Linked DNA regions of Diceros bicornis minor. The protein of the gene in region 1 interacts with the protein of each later gene in a pairwise test. Links are inferred from orthologs where the notes say so. Each region holds a gene or a part of one and is shown on either strand. Other genes may lie near its edges.

Region 1 (11,108 bases):
GATTATCAGACCACGTGCCACCACTCAACTCCCCCACCCACCCAGCCCAGCACCAGAGGGTGCCCTCAAACCCTCCACCCCACCCTTCACTGCCTCAGTCTCTGCAGTTGTTCCCTCCAACAGTGCAGAAAGGCCTCCTGGTCCCACTTCCTTGCACTCGGTTTCCACTGGCTTCCTGCACTGGCCTTACCACTCAGGTAGACAGCCAGGACAGCAAGCGCCAGGCAGGTGAGCACTAGCAGCACAAGCAGCAGCAGGAAACCCCCGCGGCAACGCACAGGGCTGCAGCTGGCCTGAGTGCACAGCGATGGCGGCAAGATGCTTAGCAGCTCATCCCATGGCTGCGCCTCCTCGGCCAGGTAGGGTCGCAGCAAACCTGTGGGGCAAATGGGGCATCAGGAGGGCGGCAGGTGCGCCTGCTTTCCTCCCCATTCAGTGCATCCACCCCACTCCCCTGCCCCCGCCCTCACCTCCACTGTGTAGGTCGCTGATGGACTCCACACGGTGCAAGCACACCTCCTGCACATGGTTGGGGGCCAGCGGTGCCCTGCTCCTTGAGCTCAGCGTTGGTGCCATGGTGTCTGCACGGGCAGTGTGGGGCTGATTCAGCCAGCGGGTCACCCTCTCCCTTCTAGGTGGCTTCCAGTGGCAGCAGGGGCTCAGAGAAGATGGGGACAGGACAAAGGGGCATTTGGCTCCTAATCCCCTAAAACTAACTCAGGAATGATCCTTGATTTGGAGCCAGGACAATCCCAGAACCCCATAGGCCTGTTCCACCCGCAACAGCAGGAAGTGCACTTGACTTGCTCACGTTGTTTCCTTCCATGCACCTCAAGCACTATCAGGCGTTTCTCTGCCTGCTCACTTCTGGAGAAGAGTTTATCAGCCTTGGAGGACTAAACCTACAGTGCATGAAATTCATTCCTGCCTCTTCCGCTCTCAGTTTTCCCTGCAGACCCTGAGTTAGCCATCAGGCCAGACACGGTGCCTGGTGCCTTCTCCTGTCCCCAGCAGCAGCGCCCCCTTCTAGCTGGCTGGTGCCTTTTCCTCCTGGCCTATGGCTCTGCTTCAACATACTCAGCTTAATCCTGCTGTACTTCTGTGACCCCTGCTGTTTACACTACAGCACAACAGGAGACCTGCCTTTGTTATCAAACTGTTTCACTGCCTCTGAGGTCTCCCTTCGGGCATCCCTTTGAGGCTGCCTGGGCATTTAGGTTGTTTCCAGTTCCCTTCCGAAATTAATAACCCCTAGAAAAGGAGATGCATCATTGAGTATGAAGGTTTTTTCCAATTTCCCAATAGTTATTAAGGACAGATTCCCAGAAGCAGAAGTACTGGATGAAAGAGCAGGGACTTTTTTTTAACGCTATCATTGAGGTGCCAGCCTGGTGGCGTAGCGGTTAAGTGTGTGCGCTCCGCTTCTGCGGCCCGGGGTTTGCAGGTTCAGATCCTGGGCATGCACCGATGCACCGCTTGTCAAGCCATGCTGTGGCGGCGTCCCACATAAAGTAGAGGAAGATGGGCACGGATATTAGCCCAGGGCCAATCTTCCTCAGCAAAAAGAGGAGGATTGGCATCGTATGTTAGCTCAGGGCTAATCTTCCTCACAAAAAAATAAATAAAAAGCTATCATCGAATCATCCTCCAGAATGGCTGTCCACAGCCCCCAAAAGGGTACAACATTGCCACCACTAGGCATCTCCATTGAAAAAAAAATTGATACACATATGTGCACACACAGGTATGTGCTAAGTTGGGAGATGAGAAAAGGCCTTTCTTGACCAATTTGGTTGGATTTCTTTGCCTGGGGCGGTGGGGGGGTGGCGCTGACCAATATGTGTGTAGCCTCCTAATTATCCATTCACAGCCTCTGCCTATTTAGTCACTGGGGTCTACTTTTCTTGTGATTTTAATTATTTTTGGACCCATCAAAGTGTTTATTTTGTCTCAAGATTATATTTTCTTCTGGTTGTTCTTTGACTTGATTTTTTAAAAAATCTTGGCCCCTGAAGCCCTCCAGATGCCCAGTTGGAAGCTAGATAATAAAGTGGGGGCATAGAAGGGCCACCTCCTGATAGAAGCAGGACGATTGGACTCTCTGGGTCTGTCAGTTTCAGAGCAGTAACACAACCTTCCTGATTTGCTTGAAACTGGCCCTTGACATGCTCAAAAGTAAGTACAACAAAAACATGCTGCCAGGCATTCGTCAGGGTGGTGTTGGGGATCATATTAAATTCCCTCTTTGCACTTGGCTGTGCTTTTCCCACACTTTCTAAATTGAAAGTGGAAATCAGATTCTATTTGTTACCAGGGAAAACACACAGTAAATGTCATTGTTACGACCCCATGAGGAGGCAAACATCCCCCCCACCGGGGCCAGGCACCTCCCACCCAGTGTAAAATGTTGAAAATATGATGGGGGGGCGGGCGGCCTGGTGGCACAGCGGTTAAGTTTGCGTGTTCCACTTGGGCGGCCTGGAGTTCACCAGGTCGGATCCTGGACATGGACCTACTCACCACTGATCAAGCCATGCCGAAGGCATCCCACACAGTACTAGAAGGACATACAACTATGTACTGGGGGCTTTGGGGAGAAAAAACAAAAGAAGAAAATGTCATGGGGGAGTTAACCAGCTGGGCCAAGCTGGAGCCCTGGAGCAACTGGTCCTGCATCCTGGCCAGTACCGAACCTGAAGCTTCCTGGGTCCCCTGCTCTGGCCCCTCTGAGGCGCTGTACTTCTTGCATGTGGCGAGGAGTTAGGTGGGCAGCCACCCAACTCTTAACTAGCAGTCAATCTGGCCAGGCCAGGGGACCCCAACTTTTAGCCAGTTGGGGGAACCTAGTCCCAGGTTGGAGGAGGCCAGAAGCCTATCCATTCCCAGTCCCTGAGCCATGTGGCCAAATGCTTCCTGGAACCATTGCCAACCCCCAATCCCAGCTTCCTCCCTGAAGGAAGAGCGGAACTGGCCAGGCATCTGCCTGGCCCACACCCACTTGGGCACAGCCTATAGTTGACCCTCCCCGAACTGGGTAGCTCCCCGCAGTCACTCCCTGCTGTCCCTAGCAGGGGAAACAGGCAAGGCCTGAGGTGAGGAGGGGTTCCAGGCATGGTAGGCCCTACCTCTGTGCACAGGGGGCAGGTCACTTTACTTGAGCTGGGACATGGTGACTGATGACTAGTCAAGGAAGTGAGGTCGGTGGAACAGGGGGCAGGTTTCTTCATGGTCCACAGGGTCACAGGCCCAGGGCCCGGCCCTTCCTCACAGTCATCTCCTACCTTCTCTGGTCTCGTCAGGCATAGCGGGTGGTGGGCAGTCGGGGCTGATGATAGCGTCCAGTAGCAGAACAGGGTGGAGGCAGCAGTGACTCTTCTGAGAGCCTGGGGAAGGCCTGGCCACCTCCTAGCCTGGGCCTAAAATAGGCCTGAGCTCCGCCCACTGGGCTATATTTAGAGGAGACAGCGCTCAGCCACGGGAAGGGGAGGAGTGACCCACATGGGCCAGCCTGGACTATACCTAGTGATGCAGCCCAGGCGAGAGCGCAAATGGCACCTTCACTAGTGCATGTGCACAGGGGCTTTCCCAGGGAACCCTGCCACCCCCACATATGCACAGGCCTCATCTTCATCCAGACAAGCTGCCTCAGGCTCACCTCCAGCATTGCCCCACAAGGCAGCCTTGCCTGCAGCCCTGTGCATCTCCACCCCTCCACTCCCAAAGACACCACCCATAGCTGGGTCATCTCTTCCAAGCAAATGTGGGACATGCACCCACCACTGTGTGACCTGCTGGCTTCAGGGATTGGGGGTGATGGACAAGTGGAGCCCAGTGCCATGAGGGCTCTGGGAGCTGCAAAAAGGGGCAGAGACACCCCCATACACACAGGCATCCATGCTGGTCAGTGGGCAGACCCAGGTTGAAGGCTGGTGCTCACAATACTAAGCTTACAACCCTGAGTAAAAGATTGCCCCCTCTCTGACCTGTTTTCTCATCTGTAAAACAGGACTAACAGTGGTTCCTCCCCAGCACAGTACATGTGAGAATAGAAATACAACCACGTCTGAAGCATTTAGCACAATGCAGTTTTGATCCTTCTCCCTCCACAAGGGCATACAGCTCACACGAAGCCTTGTGAGGATGCATGGCACCACTTACCCTTGAAGGGAGGAAGTGGTCCAGCTTAGGGCCCACCCTCTGCCATTGGACCCCTGTGTCCCCTCCTTCCCAAATGGGACAAAGCAAGACAGTGGGCTCTACCTCCTAAAACATCCCAAATCCATCACTCCACTGTATCACACTGGCCTCTTTGATAATTCCTCAAACACAGCAAGCTTGTTCCCACCTCAGGCCCTTTGCTACTGGCTGTTCCCTCCTGGAATGCCCTGTTCCCAGATATTCCCATGGCTGGCTCCTTGCCATTTAGCTCAAATGTCACCCCCTCAGTGAGGCCTTCTGCTCACATTCTTTTCCACATCACCCAATTTTATTTTCTTCATAGCACTTAGCCCAGAAACTATATTATTCAGAATATACTGGACATGTCAGTATCCCCAAAGGCCCTACAGAATCCACTCCGTCACATGGAAACCACCTTTAATCCTCACCGCAGCATCCTTAGACAGAAAAAACTGAGGTCCTGAGACAGCTAGGAAGGTGCCCAAGGCCACACAGCAAGACCTAGGACCAGCGGTTGTCTGCTGGGGCCATTCCAGCTTCAGCTGATAGTGTGTTTATTGCATTAGTACAGTCGGCCTGCCCCACCCCCACCCCCAACAGCCCAGGCTGTTCACAGCTTTCTGCTCACTGCCCAAGGAGGAGGTCCTTCCCCCAGGGTGAGCACTCGGGTCACCTCCCCCGCCCAGATCGTGGCTCTGGAGCCTTGCTTCTCTGCCTTCTCCCAGCCAGCCACCAGCCGGACCCTGTGCCTGGCCTGGGCCACCCTCCAGGGGCTACATTCAAGGGTTATCCTCTGTTAATAAATAAGCCAGCGCGGCTGCCCCTCGGCCAGGGCCTGTCAGTCGGTGTCCATCGGCCGGGGACGGCAGTGTGTCCGGCACCCAGCTGTCCGTCTCCCAGGGTCTGTCCGCCCCCTCTCTCCCGCCTGTCGTCGCCTCCCCAGTCCCCGGCGTGGGGATGGCCGAGTCACTAGTGCGCTGCGCTGCGCGGCCCCCCGCTCAGACCGGGGCTCTGGGGCATGTGTCCGCCGGTTGCGGCCCTTCCTCCGCAACTCCGGAGAAGGTGGGCGCGGCGCGGGCTGCGGACGACACATTCGCAGGGAGCTCGCGCCACCGCCGCCTGGCTCCACCAGCTGCAGGAAGTCCCGGTACCAGAGCTTGGGGCCCGGCGGCGCGACGGGCGCAGCCTCCTCCGTCCGGGCAAGCCTTTCGGCCTGCGCAGCACTCAGCACGTGCAGGGCGAGGCGACGCAGCGGCTGCGAGAAGCCCTGCTCCACTGCTGCGCACAGGTACACGCCCGCATCCCCGCGCCGCAGCCCACGCAGCAGCAGCCCTCGCGGAGTGCGCTCCGCATGCTCTTCCGCCGGCACCTGTGGGCCGGGCCAGCGTGAGGGCGGGGCGTCAGGGTCCGGCCCAGGGCTCCCTGGCACCAGTGTCCCAGCGTTGGATGGGAGAAGCAACGGATCAACGGCGGCCCAGAGGGAACGGGAAAGGGGCGCTCACAGGTGCATATTTGAAGGTTGGGTGCATGGGGGCCGGTGGTCTTCAAGTGGAAACCTGAACAAGGTGAGGTTCACCTGACTGTGGGGGGCGGGTCGGGGACCTCAACAGGCGTGGCGAGGAAGGAGGGGTCTTCTCTCGGATGTGTGTGTGCGTGAGGAGGATCAGGAGCCTAGTTAGACGGAATGGGGCCTCACCAGGGTGTGGAGTGCAGGTAAGGGACCAAACTGGACCAACGGGGTCTGGTTGGGCGGAGCCTCGCTGGGCGGAGCTGGACCTCATCTAGATGTGGGGAGCAGGCCAAGGCCCTCATTAGTCAGAGTTAGGCCTCTCCTAGATGTAGGCGGTGGGACAAGGGCCTGGGTTGGGACAGGGATCAGGTGGAGGCTCACCTGGGTGCTGGCTGCCTCCCTTGAGCGCTGGAAGGTCCACTCCACACGCGCCTGCAGTGAGCGGGGCTCACACTCCAGGAAGGCGCTGCCGCCCTCCACACCAAACACCTTCCGCTCCAGCAGCGTGGGATGGGACGAGTCTGAGGGGAAGGGGAATGTCAGATTCAGGCAAGGCAGGGCAGGGTGGGGCGTCTTTAAGGGCTGAGAGGTGGGGGCAGCTGAGGCACTTACCCCCAGAGCACAGCGTGCTGGGGTCCCCATTCCTTACGTCTTGCCGCCGGAACCGCCTGGGGAGAACATTGGAGCCTCCGTGAGCCCCTCTTTTAGCCAGCAGCGAAAGACTCCCTCCCGGTGGCCCGCCCCCGACTCTGCTCACCTCTTGCTACTGGGCTGAAAGCGCGTGCACGCAGCCCCATCCCAGGCGCAGTAGGGGTCACGCGCCAGGCAGCATTCGGCACAGGCACGGCCGTGGGCAGCACAGCGGTACAACGGGATCTGGGCCACTGCGCTCGGCGAGGCTACGTACAGCTGGTGCTAGGGGGCACGAGGGGCTCCGGGCTGACCGAGAGCCGCCCCCTGCCCATCTCCCATTGATCAGGAATCCCGTCCCCCACTTGACAGATGGGAACACTGAAGTCTCAGGTCACAGTCTAGCCAAGGCAAAGCCTACTACTCAAACCCAGGGCTTTGAACTACCAAGGGAGGCATGGGGGTGAGGGCACCCGGGAACGTGCTCGGTCCATTCCATCCCCAAACATTCTGGTCACTTACCCTCTTGGAGGAGATTTGCATGCTGGTGACAGCGGCTGAGTCCTGAGAGGGAGGAGGGGCGCTGGGATGAAGGCTCAGTGGGGTGAGGGTACCCCAAAGGACGGGGACTAGGTCTCACCTCAAACACATGCAGCTCCTCCAGGAGCAGACCCTCGGCGTTAGGCCAGCTGCCCTTGGGGACCGAGATCACCTTCAGCACTGTGCCGGCATCTGCAGGGGTGAGAAGAGGTAAGTGACTCGTTGTATGCTCTGACAGCTAGGGCCAGGGGTCTCCTCACTTTTGAGGCCTCCACCCTCAGCGTGGTTGGGTCAGTGAAGAATGTGCATTGGAACAATCAGAGCAGCATCCAGAAGGAGATGGGGGCACAGCCCAGGCAAAGATGTGAGATGAGACTGAACAGGGGGAGCTTTCACTAAACAGGCCAAAGAGCCTGGACTGGGTCTTGTGGGTGGTCATGGCAGGGCCCTGACCTGTGCCAATGAAGAGGACGTCATAGTGTCCATCAGCAGCAGCTACACGGTCCACAGCGATCTGGGTGAAGTTATACCCGGCACCCACTTGTAGGAAGAGAGGGCGTCCCCCCATGGGCAGGACTGAATTGTACATGAGGGGGTGGTTCCGGGCAAACTGGATGACGTCATCAGGAAAGTCCTTGGTGGAACTGAAGGTGCCAAAGGTCTTGCTGGGGCACTGGGGGTGGAGAGGAGGCACTACAGGGATGTGCGCATGAGGGCCTGGTGGGCAGCCCTCCACAAGAGACCACCCAGAACCTGGACTGGGGGGTGGAGTAGGGGAGGGTATTAGATAGAGCCCTGCCCTGGGAATCTGACAGGCGAGACCCAACTTTGCCCTTGGGAGTCTGAGGGGGAAAATATGGCCTTCCCCTGAGGAGCCCTGTCTGAGGAAGGTGACACTTTTCCACCCCATAACAAAAGGAAGAAACCACATTCACCAAGAAGACCCAGGCTAAGTTCTCCACCCCTGAGGCTTTAAGTGGGTTGTGGTGGGAGTCCCCAGGCTACGCACCATGCCAGGCCGGGGGTAGGGCACGCGGCCCTGGTAGGACACCCATTGGTGCATGGGCCCCTCCTTGTGTGCAAAGGGTCCCAGGAAGGCCCGGCGCACGTCGTTCATGCTGTACACACACACTGCGGAGCCCTGGAAGATGCCGCTGCAGGCGAAGACATGAGCGGGGTGAGGGGCTCAGTGGAGCCCAGCAGACCCTGCCCCACTACCTCCTGCTCCTCACCTAGATGTGGAGAAGACAGCATAGAGCAGTGGGGTCCAGCGGTCCCGTGAAGAAAGCAGGAACACGTCCTCTGCAGGGACAGGGTCTAGATGGGGGAGGGCGCACAGCCCTGCAAGCCGGCCAGGCTCCAGGATCTGTGCCCCTGCACTCTCTCCCCCCACCCCATCCTCCACTCCTGGCACTCACGGAGCCGGTCGAAGTGCGTGTCACCCTCAACGCCAGGCACCGAGCATACCAGCCGTGCCTTCAGGAACGTTGTCCACTTGTTGACCAGGCTGCGCTGGCCACCCACGTCGTTCTGTGGGGTCAATCAGAGGGGATGAGGGCGAGGCCCAGACGGGCAAAGGGGCGGGGGCGGGGTCACCAGAACTGGCTCAGGGACTCCTCACCCTGCAGATCTGGCCAACACGGGAAATGGACAGGCGTCCCAGTGCCGGCGTGGCCTCCACTGCCAACTCACGGAAGAAGAAGTAGATCTTGTCATCATCCGGGTTCTCACTCTCCGGGATCCAAAATACCTTGACAAACTTGGGCTCTGGCCGCAGCAGGAGGTGTGGGGTCAGTGAGGTCCTGGCCCGCCCCCTACTCCAAGAACCACAAGCTGCCACCCCTTGAGCTGCCTCCCCTTCTTCTTGTGCCTACAGAAGCCCCCGGGGCAGCATCTGATCACCCAGCCTCCAGGACCAAGTTCAGATGGTGCTCAGCAGGGGAAGAAACCAAAGGATCAGAGCCTGCGAGTCAAGAAGCAGCCACGAGAGGGCAGCAGAGACAGTGGCTACTTGGGCATGCAGGAGGGGGACCCTCACCAGTGGCAGGCCTCTCACCCATGACAGTTCTCCAGGCCAGTGAGCCAAGAAAGGAGGGAGATGGGGTATGGGTTATACCTTCACTCATGAGTCTTCCTCTCTAGCAGGAAGCAGATGCCCTCATTCATTCCTGCTTCAAATACTCTGCTGGGTCCCATCACACTTAGAATAAACTACCCTGGACCTTGACAGTCCAAGGCCCTTATCATTGCTCCCTTCATTAAACTGTTTTTGGCTTGGCTTGCTGCTGCCCCAGGGCCTTTGCACTAGTTGTTCCCTCTGCCTACAACGCTCTTCCCTCAATCCTGCTGTGCTTTGGGAATTAGCTCACACCTCTCCTCAGCAGGGTGGCTTCCTTTCCCCAACCCTCCCACCACCACCACCACCTAGTCTCTTTTTCCCTTCCTCTCTACTCCCTCATTGGTCTAACGGCCATTGGAATTGATCTTGTCATGTATTTGTTCTGAGGTCTGTGAACTCAAAGAGGGCATGGGCCATACCTGCCTTGTGTGCCCTGCGTCCCCAGTGCCTAGTTCAGGACCTGAGGCATGGTAGGTACTTGGTGAGACCTGGCTGTGTCCATTGCTCACTTTTTTTTTTTTTTTGAGGAAGATTGGCCCTGAGCTAACATCTGCTGCCAATCTTCCTCTTGTTTTTTCTCCCCAAAGCCCCAATACATAGTTGTATATCCTAGTTGTGGGTCCTTCTAGTTCTTTTATGTGTGATGCTGCCTCAGCATGGCTTGATGAGCAGTGAGTAGGTCCGTGGCCAGGATCAGAACTGGCAAACCCCAGGCCGCTGAAGCGGAACACATGAACTTAACCGATGTGCCACCTCGCTGGCCCCCATTGCTCACTTCTTTATGGGCCTTGCTCAGCTCCTGCCCTGTTGGGGATGAGGGCCCCCTCCCAACAGCCCCACCAGCCTTTTACCGTTGAGCCAGCGGGAGTCGTGTGGCTCTGTTCGGAGACTCGGACGCTGACCTAGGCTGCGGAAGATGGTAAAGTCCCGGCCCATGAGGTCTGCGGCCACCCCCGAGTACAGCTCTTCCCCTGCAGGGCAAGGGCTACTTAGCCAAGCTGAAGGCTCTCGGTGGGGGGGCCTGTGGAACCCTGGAGGATCTTGGGGAGTCAATGTGGCTAAGGGGGATCCCTGGGGCTCTAGGGAGGGTCTTGGGACTTTGTGAGGTTCTAGAGTCTCTGAGGGGTTCCAGGAGCTCTGTTGGGGTCCCAGCCTTTGGACTCACCCACCAGCACGGAGGCAGCCCGATGCCTGGGGTCATAAGGACTCTTGCCCTTGCCATCCTCTAGCCTTCGAAGGTCCAGCTGGAGCACGGGCTCCTGGGAGGCAGGGGGGAGTTGTTACAGCCAGGCTCTTCCTTACTTTCCCATCCCCCCTCTCTGCCGAGACCTGGCCTTACCTCCAGCCGGTGACCCACCTCCACAAATGCACAGGTTGGGTGGAAGGCCCCTGTGCCACAGGCCAGCAGGTGGGTGCGGTTGTAGGCATGCAGCAGCTTCACGAAGTTCATGCACTCAGTCTAGTGGGCAGGCAGGGGCAGGGACAATGAAGCCTCCCCCAAGGAGGAGGCCTTAAGGGGTCCCAGCTCACCAGGGCAGCCCCATTCTTTCCTCTCTTCTGTATCAGCCCAGGCAAGTACCAACATGGGCCACAGGGACCTGGGTGCCCTTGGTGACCAGCGCAGCCCACCTCTCACCAGAATGAGCATGGGGAAGCACAGGCCTGCATTGCCCCTATGACTCAGAGGCTCCCAAGAAGAATCACGAGCCCCCACCCTGACTCACTGCCTCCAGACTTCAGCTACCTCAACGCCCCTGCCCCCATCCCAGCCAGAACAGGCAGGCCTCTGTTTTAGCACTGCCCGGTCTAGAGTGAGGGGCTGACCTCCCCGCTCCCACCCCGGGCAGCCAACACTCACACCAATGTCCTTCCCCGCCCAGTTGCACTCCTCTCTCCATTCCACAGGGGCCGGCCAGGCCAGCTATGGGGAGGGTGGGGGAGCGGGGACAAGGTCAGGGTTCTCCATGCTGAGGGTGTCCGCTCAGGGAGCCCATCCCCCTGGGTCTCTCCAGGCAGTCTGGAGTGGGGTCCCTGGGCTCTTTCCCTGGGCAGCACTGAGGCTGGGGGGTCCCTGGCACCTTCTTGGCCCGCTTGCTGATATTGTCCAGGCTGAGGGAGGCCACATGGTTC
Region 2 (10,680 bases), on another chromosome or scaffold:
CTGGCAAGTGAGAAAACCTGGACAGGAGTTTGAAACCTGAATGTGACTATATGTTACAGACCTGAATTAATGGAAGAATCTATGCATTGGATTAAAAAACCTAGAATTAACCAGAATAAGCTGCCTACCATTTGACAGCTAGGGACTCCAAGTGAGAAACTGAAGTGTTTCAGAAATATTTAATGTACGTGTCTGTGAACTTCCGGCACTGTGGGCTTATGTAGTGGGTGTAGGCTGCAGCGACCCTGCCCCCGGTGAACAAGAGCATTCGCCCTGGGCGTTCATTTGCCCTCTCTCTCTCCGTATAAGCACTGATTGCCAGAAAGCATGGACTTGTTACAGGAGCAAAGTGAGACAACCAGCTATGAAGGCAGTGCATATAAGTAATGAAAAACCTGTCCGTGGTACTTACCTATTAGAAATATCACGAAGGAAACCAGTGCCAGGCTAATGATCAGCACGATTATCAGCCCCACAAAAAACAGACTGTGGCTTCCATTTCCTGAGTTAGTGCCAACGTCTGGGATTTTCTCCTCTAGAGCTAATAGGAAGCAAACAACGACAAAAACTCATCAGCATACAGCTCACCAGCAGAACTGAGCAGTCCCCCATTAGTAGAGATTTGAGTAAGGGATACGACCATTTTCTCTCCAATCACTCTAGAAAGTGACATGTTTTAGGAACCTCTGGGCGGGATACTCTTTGTGAATTTTTTACCTTCTTCTACACCGGTATTCAAAGAACAAGCAGAGTCAAGCTATCTCCTTACCCCTGTTTGGGGGGTGGGGGAGGGGGATTGGGTAAAGAAGTTGGGGGTTAAGAGTGATGGAGGATTTATTGCCCTTTTCCCAAAGTGACCCAGGAGTAAAGCACAGCTGGCCGTGGGACACCTCCCCTGCATGGAAAGCTGAACGCTCTGGGATATCTCCCAGGAAAGTCCTTTACCGTAGGAATAATCAGTTATGCCTACACCCATTTAAACAAAAAATGGCCCTGATGTGTTTCTTAAAGCTGTTTTCAGCATGGACATGTTCTGGAAGCAAGGTTCTTTTAAATGTCTTGCTGTTGAACTGAGAATGCAGCCACACTTATAAAACAGCTTTGTTTACCCACTTCACCATAAATTGTCTTCATTGGGTTATCATTTTGTAAGGCCTATTTGCCTAATAACACCCAAATTGAATTGAATAAGACATACAGAAACTTGGGGAATGGAGACCCTTGGTTGCTTTCTATATTCTCTCCTACTTCGCCTCAGTTCCACACACTGCTACTTGATTACAGATAGATGAGTGGCTCATGTCCCGTGCTTTTAAGTACATCCTGTGTCAACCTCTCAACGGCTTTTGCTTCCTAGTCAAAGCAACAGCATCTGCTGGCACCCAAACATCTACTTTTATTGAGACTGACTGCAATAAAAACAGGTGGAAATCTGAACACATTCTGATGAAGAAAAAGCAGGAACTCAGAAAGAATTTAGAAGGGGAATAATAGATATAAAATTGGGACAATAAGAGTTTAGAATGCATATGAAACAAATGGCAAGTGGACAATTAACACCTGTGTTTGAATGTCAGCGTTTAAGCTAGAAAAATGGGGCTCAGAATGCTCTAATAGAACTCCTTTACAATATTTAGGGGACAAGATACACATTTAGTACTTAGCAGATTTTTATTGCTTCATTCACCCTTTTCTAGGCCTTTAATTGGGACAATTCATAATTTGTAAGTAGAAAATGAAGTTGACTTTTTGTCCAACAAAATTTTAATGATATTTTTTAAAACTGGAGGAATGTTTGGAGCATTTTCTCAGCAATCCACAATGAAGTAAGATCCCTCTAGGAAAGCAGGCACCATCCGTGACCTGGCTGTGGTCACTAGAAGGCACGACAGCAGCGGAGAGAGATAAGCAAGCCTCTGGGAGACCAGCTCTGCAGCCTCCTCCCCTTTCCAGGGAGAGAAACTCCACAGGGAATTCTCAGAACTTTTGAAGACAAGCGTTCAATTCTTGCTTTGGAGCCAAGAGATCCCATAAGTCATCAAGTATTCAAGGAACAAAAGCAAAAATTGCCTAATAATAAATAGCATTTTCATTGCCAGGCTGTTCCTAGTGCCCACCCCGCACCCCCCCCCCCACGCCCCCAGGTCCAGATTAGCATTTGCTATTTTTAGGTGGCCTAGAAGCCAGGAAAGGCCACCAAGCCTTGGAGGGCACACATACGGAACAGATGCTGCGAGCCGGCAGGATAGAGGTTTAGTTTGTTTAGGTCGTTTATGGAATCCACAACATAAAGCTTTCTATCTTCATAAATGCCGCGAGAGCCAGTGTCCTGGGAAGAATGATTCATTGTCCCTGAAAGGAAACACTGACGTTAAGTAAGAGGCTGGTCTGGGGAACTCAGCTCCGCAAGAATCACAGCCTGCAGGAGACTGGACAGGCATGGAAAGAACCACCCACAAATACTATTTCCAACTGAAGGTCTAGAAAAGCTTTGCTTGTCCGGAAGAAAATATTTCCTTCTGGGGATAACTTTGTAACTATTCTTTTTGCTTTGCTTGCCAGGAAGCTCAGAGTCCAGCGTGTGGCCCAATGTTAAGAACTGTACCGTGCTTTATACACTACTTATCTGCTTATGCTCTTACCTCCTCTTCAGATTTCTCAATTCTGTCTACATTTTCTCTGGGCCTGCTTTTCATTTCGTAATTGATTTAAAAATTTTTCTCTCTTACTACATTGTTCATATTCTGGGGCAACGCCTCAAATCCCTTGTGCAAGGAGACTATATATAAACATATAGAAAGATAAAATTAAGCTAGTTGGCCTGTGGCCATAGAGATTCTGAGAGAAGGGAACATTACTGTGACCCATTCTAATTGCATGAGGCTTTAATACAAAGCTGTAATTTTTATATTCTCCCTCAATATGGTATGTGAGGCTCCACCTTAAAATGTATCCTTTAACCATTAGATGCTGGCTGTGAATCTTCAAGACCAAATCTTAGCAAGCTTAGATGTTGTAAAGAGGAATCCTGCAGCAGTCAGAGGCTACAGGCCAGGACTTCTGAGGTCTCTTCCCCTGAGTTTCCTCAGATTGAGGTCACTTACGTAATAAGTAATTTTAAAATTGAGGTTTACATTTAAGGTAATATTCTAATGACAGCACAACTTCAAGCAACACTGAAAAGCCTGCTATTTTAAGATCTCTCCAGAGCACAACCGAGAATCTGTGGCCTTTTAATTGCACGAAAAGAAGGCTCTAGGAAGACAAAATACAATGACTATAAAAGCTTTCTCTTTTATCATTATCTCTTTTCATAAAATGAGTCTAATAGTGATATAGGATTTTTTTGATCTGCAAAGGATTTTAGACGTGCTCTCCTTTAGCCCCCATCCTTTCCACAAATGAGGAAATGGAAGCTCAGAGGGTAAAGACATTTCCCTAGCTGCAGAGCTGGAAGTGGCCTCTTGCTTCAGAGTTCACTGCACCTTCCCTTGTGCTACTACACTCCTTCTCTACATCCCTCCCTAATCCTCTCTCAGGACTCAGCTCAAACCTCACCTCCTCTAAGAATCAACCTGTCTTTCCTTTGTGCCCTTGCTGGTTGTGCCATTCTTCTATCAGAACACCTATAATATTTTATCTCATTTATTTGCTTACATCTTTGACTTCCCCAATTAACTGAAAACTCCTTAGGGTCAGCACCAATCCTATTCTTCAAATGCCCAGGGCCAACTTTAGAAGCCAGTGACTTATGTTAAGTTGGAGCACTTAAAATATTTTATTTGGGGTTTAAATCTCACTATTTTCAAAAGAATTTGAGGCAGTTAATAATAAGGACACTAACAGAAATAAAACTGAGGGTAAAAGTCCTCACGTGACATCTTTCCAGACTTTTAGTAAAGTCAAGGCAATAAACTTCATGCCTGCCTATATGTGGCAACACAGTGTTTACTTCCTGTTAACATTTTAAAAATTTCCTCTAATATCCAGCCACAGAATAAAGAGAAATATAATTAGAGTTAGGAGAAATCAAATTCAGAAAAAAAGGATATGAACACCTATAAAAGATCTGAAAAAAAGCATCAGCCATTTACTAAATAACTTAAACTGCACTCTAAAATATTAAAAGCCAGCAATTTCCCAGTAATACCTAAAACCTATTAGTACTTGTAAAAAATGTGCTCCCAGAACCCTAGCTAAGAAAAACAGTGAGCTCAAAAAGTCATGGACTAATTAAATTTTTTTTCAATCAAGATTAAAAACTAAAAATGGTGTTTCAGTTATCCTGAAATTTTAATGAACAAGAACACATAATTCCATCAGTATTTTAGGTAAGGTACTACTGAAGCACTTTATATATTGATGTTATTGAACTCCAAATTTACTTCATGGAGCATTCATAAGTGAACGACTTTAAGTGGCAAAAAAAAAAAAAAAGTAACAGCCCATGGAGTAGAGAGGCCTTAGAGATCAATCAAATCTCATCATTGTATAGATAAAACCAAAAGTGTTGACTAATGCATGGTCACAGATTCCTAAACTATTTTTCTCGAAATTTTTTATATTTTATCATTTTTTATACTTTATTATCCCAAATACTAATATTTGATGAGGAATAAAGGTTGTATGTGTCACATCGTAGGATCCTCGTTCCAAACACAGCTTCTATTTTAGTCTGGGTGACTGATGCATGGTTCATTTTTAGATCTCTGACTTAATATCTTTGAGCCTTAGCTTCCCCTTTAGGAATGTAATTACTATTGCTTAAATCTCATACTGAGGCTTAAAGAACGTTTACAAAGTGGAGGACTAGCTAGAAAATCATAGCCACAAAAACTGACTTAAGAGCAGTGCAGCTAATAAAATCTCCAAATTATTGGCCTTGCTACCAACTCAAAAGGTGACTCAATGCAACATCAAATCCAAAAGCACTAAGACAACAACTTAGAGTGAACTATGAAGTGCTCTGAAAAAAAATTTCTTCTTTAGGGTAAAGTCACAACGTAAATAGATGCTATTTCAATGTGTTTTAAAATTATGTGCAACATGCAAATGGTAAAAAAAAGAACTAGTAGAGAAAACTGAGTTAGGTGTGGTTCATGGCCACCAAGAGCTTGCAAATGACTCTGCAAGTAAATGGATACAAGATCACATGGCCCTAAAACCAGGACCCACAGCTGTTTGACACCCAGTTGTTGCTATCTTTGGTATCTCCATATGAGGGCATCTGGGAACAACCAACGGGGCTGGAAAAGCCAGTGTTACTAAATTCTGCATTGCTCTAACTCGACCCTCCTTCCCGACTCTGGTGTGCAAATTTGCTCATTAAGTAAGATTGACCAATGCAGCATTCTTTTAATGGAACCCTTTCTAATACCTTGTGCTGAAACATGTAAGTAATTTCATTTTCCTCCCGTTTAGATCAATGCTAACCGCTGATTCTTTTTGTCTTGTAAGAATTCTTTGACTACCTACAAATAAATATTCTGACAAATATAGTTGCCTATGAAAAATTGCTTCGCTCTTTATTTTTTCTCGTAGGTGCTCAGTATCAAACCACAGAAACAACTCACACGAGTATTGCTTGCCACAAAATCAGAATTGTTATAATAGGGCTTAATTCAAAGCTAATAGGAAACTTTATTGAGTGAGTCGTGGTAATTTGTTCTTTAATCTTATTTCAGAGTCAGTGCCTCTTCAGATTCAGGAAGTAATTTTTAAAATCAACTCTAAATCATTTCTATCAAAAGTTAAAAGCACAGAACACACGCAACAAAAAACATATCAGCCTCAAGAATCGTAATTCAGTCTCAGTAGAGGAATAGCATGCAAATTACTTACAAAAATGTGAGCTTTCACTGCTAGGTTACCAGAAAAACAAAAACAACTAATTATTCGGAAGCAACTACAACAAAATTTTCTACAAATTCTGTATTTCCTTCTTTGCCTTCCTTCAGCACACGGGTGCTCCTAGAAGGCCCATAAACCCCAGCATGAAACCGTTGGTCTATATTTAGTGTTAATTTAACCAAGCAGTGTAAGATTCCAAATACTGACTTTCTTCACAATGTCTAAGGTTTTTAGTAAATATATTACTGATACTATGCTTTAAAAAGAAAAAAACCACCATTCCTTGATGAAATTGGTAACTGATGAGGTTCTTATGGGGCTGAAGTTAATGTCCCTATTTGGCCGACACAACCGTGTAAGCTGACACACTTCCAGCACTTCTGCCACGGTATGCTCCATATATAAATATCTGGTAGCAGGATGGAGCTGCCACTCTGACAACTAACTTGCACAGGACTACCAGACCAACCAGAGGACTACAATAAAGAGGGACAGGATAAGGTTGTGACATTATAATGAGGATGATGCAGGTCAGAGGACTCCTAGGGCTTCCAGTAGCTACAAAAAAAGATTGTGAGTGGGAGATCGTCTGGCTACAGACCCACTGCAGGTGATGGAAGCACTTTGTCTCATCAACGTCCTTTCCTTTTCCAAGGCTTTATTCTGTGACTTTTTATGCATCTTGTTTTCTCAGGAATGTCAGCCTTTCTCTTATGTGGTTCCCTCACACACATGCCAAGGAGCTTCTGCCCTCTGGTGTACATAAAAGAAGCTACAGTGAGGAGGAGACCTGCAATCCCATAAACCCAGATCCTAGACCCCAGGGACGAACTATCCCAGCAGGACACTAAGGGTTAGGTGATAAACTGATATATAATCCCTTATAATCCTACCTTCCATGGCCATGACTAGATGGACATTATTCATCCTTGAAACACATTGCATGTCAAGTAGAAAATATTTGCTCCATAAAATTTCCCTCACATCTATAGTATCCATTATAGACCTCACTCTACTTTTGGGAAAAAGGAACATCATTTTCTTAAGCTTCATCTACACCCGAGGAGCAATTCATGAAGTAGGACAAGATAATTAATAACTGTTTTCTCAGACGCAGATTATACGTTAAAAAGCTATGCCAAATTTCTTGAAAAATGAAAATGTTTGTTAGCTATTAATTATCATGCTCAGTTTAAAAAATAATCTCCCAACTACCTGATCTATCTTAAACCATCTAACCTTTGAAGAAAAATAGAATAGCCACATTTTGAGCATTTACTGTGTGTTTTTCTCTCTCCTGTAACTTTACAACCCTGTGATCCAATCCCTCAGGGATGAGGAAAATGGAGACTAAGCAATTCCTCACACTGTAGTCTGAATTCCATGTTTCACCATATTTTACACCAGTGAAGGGAATGAGATTTTTAATGGCTTGTGACCAGTTAGACTTATGAGAACCACTTAAGAGCACAGCAAGGTAACCTACCTCATTTTATCTATTATGTACCTGAAGAGTTTTGGGTCACAAGAAGAAAATAGGTATTCTCACCTGAACTGTTTAATCTGGGGACATTTTCAAGTATTTCTTGCTTTTTCTTTCAAATATTATATCTCACTGTATCTAGATTAAACTCCCAGGAAATTCAGTAAATGCTATCAAAGGCTTGAGTCACAGATGCTCATTGCTTCAAAATTTATGCTTGAGCCTCAAAATAAAGAACTTATTAGGCAAGGACCATTTCAAACTCCTTTAAACCAGCAAAATTAACCAAGAATCCAGGAATGAACTGGTCTATCATACACCATTTTACTAATTTCAAGAAAACTCAAGCATTCTTACACATTGAATCCCCAGTAAATCTGTCCAGCAAATACCCATCAATTCCATGAATAAAAAAAAAAAAATCTATAAATTTAATATGCAGATTAACATGTTTATCTCTTCTTCCTCCTAAAACCCCAGTAAAAAGGCAGAATAGGTAAAAATTACAAAACAAGAATGAAAATAGGAGAAAGCAATGGTGAACAAGATTTCAGCAAATGTATTGAATAGGAAAAGGAGGGAGTATTTGGTACCTGCCTTAGCAGACCTCCGGAGGACTATCCCTGATGAGTGATGTGACTGATCCCGCTTAATTCAGGCAGGCTCAGGAACTGGAGGCAACAGTGAAGTATGGCGCTAAACACAGGCAGGTAATTTCATGTTAGCCAAAAATAAAATGCAATAGACGATTGGAAAACCATGTTACATAAACCTCTCAGAAAGAAAAAGAAATGAGCAAGAAAGAAATAAGCCCAGTGGATCAATCCAGCAGCTCTAGTATCTTGAGTTCTAGAACAAAGAAAATGGGGGGGGGGAGCATGGTCAAGAACTTAAAAATATTTTCCAGATTGCCAGAGCCCACCAAAGCACAGTATCACCCAATTTTAGAGCACTAGAGACAAAGTGATTCTAAAAGCAAAAGAAAACAAAGAAATCAGAAACAAAAATCACATCAGATATTGCAACACTTGACAATTGGAAGACAATACAACAATGCCTTCAAAATTCCGGATTTGATTTTCTATCTGGAACTTTATATACCAAGCCAAACTATCTTTCAGACATATAAAGTCTCAAAATAATCAGCCTCCCACTCACCCATTCCCAGAAGTTACGAAGGAAGTGTTCCACTTTAACAAGAAAATGATCTGACATTGAAAACATGGGGTCTAGGTAATGTGAAATCGAACCCAAGAAAGGAAAACAAATCTCAGGACGATGAAGTCTCAGGAAACAGCTGTATACTCAGACAAGAAAGAAATTAGCGCAGACTGAAACAAGAAGCAAGAGTTCTGCTGGGCTTTGACCATGTGGAAAACAGATTCAAGAGTTTTATATATTTATTTAGGACTAAAAAGCATTAGTGGTATACGTAAAACCAAGATAAAATGTTCTGAGAATTGAAATGCACCACGATGCAAAAAATGATGCATTGGGAGTAGCAGAAAGGAAAAGTAAAAAGGCAGAAATTTTCACCTAGCAAATAGGAAGTTGGCAGATGTCTAAAAATAATAACCAGTTGTAGAAGCATATTAGAAACCAGAAACCCAAGTACTAGCAAAAAACTAAAGGCTGAAATGCCTTCTGGGATGGGCCTGAGAAATGGGAAACGATGGAGCAGGGAGCTAACTTTTTTTCTTATAAGCCTTGAAGTATCTATTAAAGTATATGTGTGTGTGTGTGTGTGTGTGTGTGTATATATCACTTCAATAAAAATTCATTTTTATTTAAACATATGTATACATATACAAAATTGAAAATCTAGGAAAAAACACTATCTGCAATCTCTTTCCCATGATTCTAACCTACTTGGATACAAATGACAACATGCAAACCCAAGTTCTAGATTTCCAATTGGTTTTCCAGTGCACTCTGAGGGATAGAGCTCACACTCCCAGGGGGTGCTCCATAGGCCAGCCAGTGATTTTCAACTAGGGGGCACATCAGACCTTCCAGTTGTTGTTGGGGAAGCGGGAGAGGAAGTATGCTAGTTTGGAACAAATACCCCCAGTGATTTTGGTACTTCTCTACAGTGTACATGCTTCCCTAACCCTCACCCCTCTTTTCACTGTTTTTCTGCACTAATGTCAAAGACATAAGTCTAGGAATCTTGAATTGCAAATGTTGCCTGTGTAACATAATTTGTGTACACATTAATAAAATCCTAATGTATTGTCAAAATGCATTTCATAAAGTGAAAAATCACCTCATAGGGGTATCGAAGCAGCAACAGTCTTAAAAGTCAGTAACTGGAATCCCAATGATATATTGCTTCATTTTTTCGTCTATTTTCATGTTTCCAAACATACAAAGTAAGTCTCATCTCACTCTCTCCCTACCTGGCTTGGTCATTTTGAACTCTGTACACCTCAAAACCATAAATAATGTTTCTTTATTAGAAAAGAAGCACTTTCAATGTGAAAAGATTTTTATTTCAAAATAAAAGAGTACAAGGTCTTACACAGCAGATAAAATTAGTGTTACTGCCCTCAGAGGTCAAGGTTAGCAATCCATACGCTAATTCATCATGATTCCCAATAGCTGGTCTGCACTTAAGTGCAACTGTAAGGTCTCATGGTATAATTCCCTTTGTTGATCACAGTGACAAAATTAAAATTATCAGGTTCCATTTGAAATTAAAAATATAGCAGCTTTTCCAGAAGAACTAGCTCCCAAAATTGTATCCAAAACTCATTTGTCTAAGATTTTAAGTTAAATACTTTGTATATCTATACCAGAACAATCAATATTTTTGACAACCACAGTACAAGAAATTTAATCTTGGCTAATAATTTTTCTCATCAGGATATCATGTGAAATCTATTTTTGCTTTCTTCATAAATAGAAAATGACCAAACATTACAAATACTTTATTCATGTTTACTGATATTTACAGAGAATATTCCATAATCAGAACTCACCATTTGTAACACTGTACATTAAATTATAAGTAATATAAACCCTGCTACAAAAGCTATCTATGTTGACCCAAGATAAAAACTGTCTCTAGAGTTTAAATACATTAGAAATTACAAAAAAAGAAAAAATTGGAAATTAGAAAGTAGTTTTCAAGTGTTGAAAATCTAGAAGAATTCTCCAACATCTGCTCTCTTATCTCGACATTTGCTTCGAGCTTTTGTTCGAGCTTTGAAGGCTGCAGAATTATATAAGTGCTAAAACAAAGAAAAGGAAAATATACGTGAGTCACTAAGGCTTAAGATATTCTTGCAAAATAATAAAAAAAGATAAATAAAAATCACAAAGGAAAGAAATGAACTAATTCAGCC

What was found.
Region 2: the proteins of LSMEM2 (region 1) and LSMEM1 interact in binary tests that used the Homo sapiens proteins (3 or more experiments, as listed by UniProt). The two-hybrid records come from large-scale screens. The link is inferred for Diceros bicornis minor from reciprocal best matches to the Homo sapiens genes LSMEM2 and LSMEM1.

What each region holds. Positions count from the first base shown.
Region 1 is NC_080741.1:51,314,512-51,325,619, reverse strand, and holds the start of LSMEM2 (leucine-rich single-pass membrane protein 2), read right to left. Parts: upstream 4,491-11,108; 5' UTR 577-4,490; coding exon 471-576; intron 377-470; coding exon 191-376; intron 1-190. Other genes in the region: SEMA3B (semaphorin-3B), read right to left, coding at 5,018-5,548, 6,071-6,210, 6,302-6,357, 6,447-6,604, 6,842-6,883, 6,960-7,051, 7,313-7,532, 7,869-8,013 and 8 more.
Region 2 is NC_080742.1:64,075,989-64,086,668, reverse strand, and holds the start of LSMEM1 (leucine-rich single-pass membrane protein 1), read right to left. Parts: upstream 4,939-10,680; 5' UTR 2,348-4,938; coding exon 2,221-2,347; intron 542-2,220; coding exon 413-541; intron 1-412. Other genes in the region: IFRD1 (interferon-related developmental regulator 1), read right to left, coding at 10,477-10,566.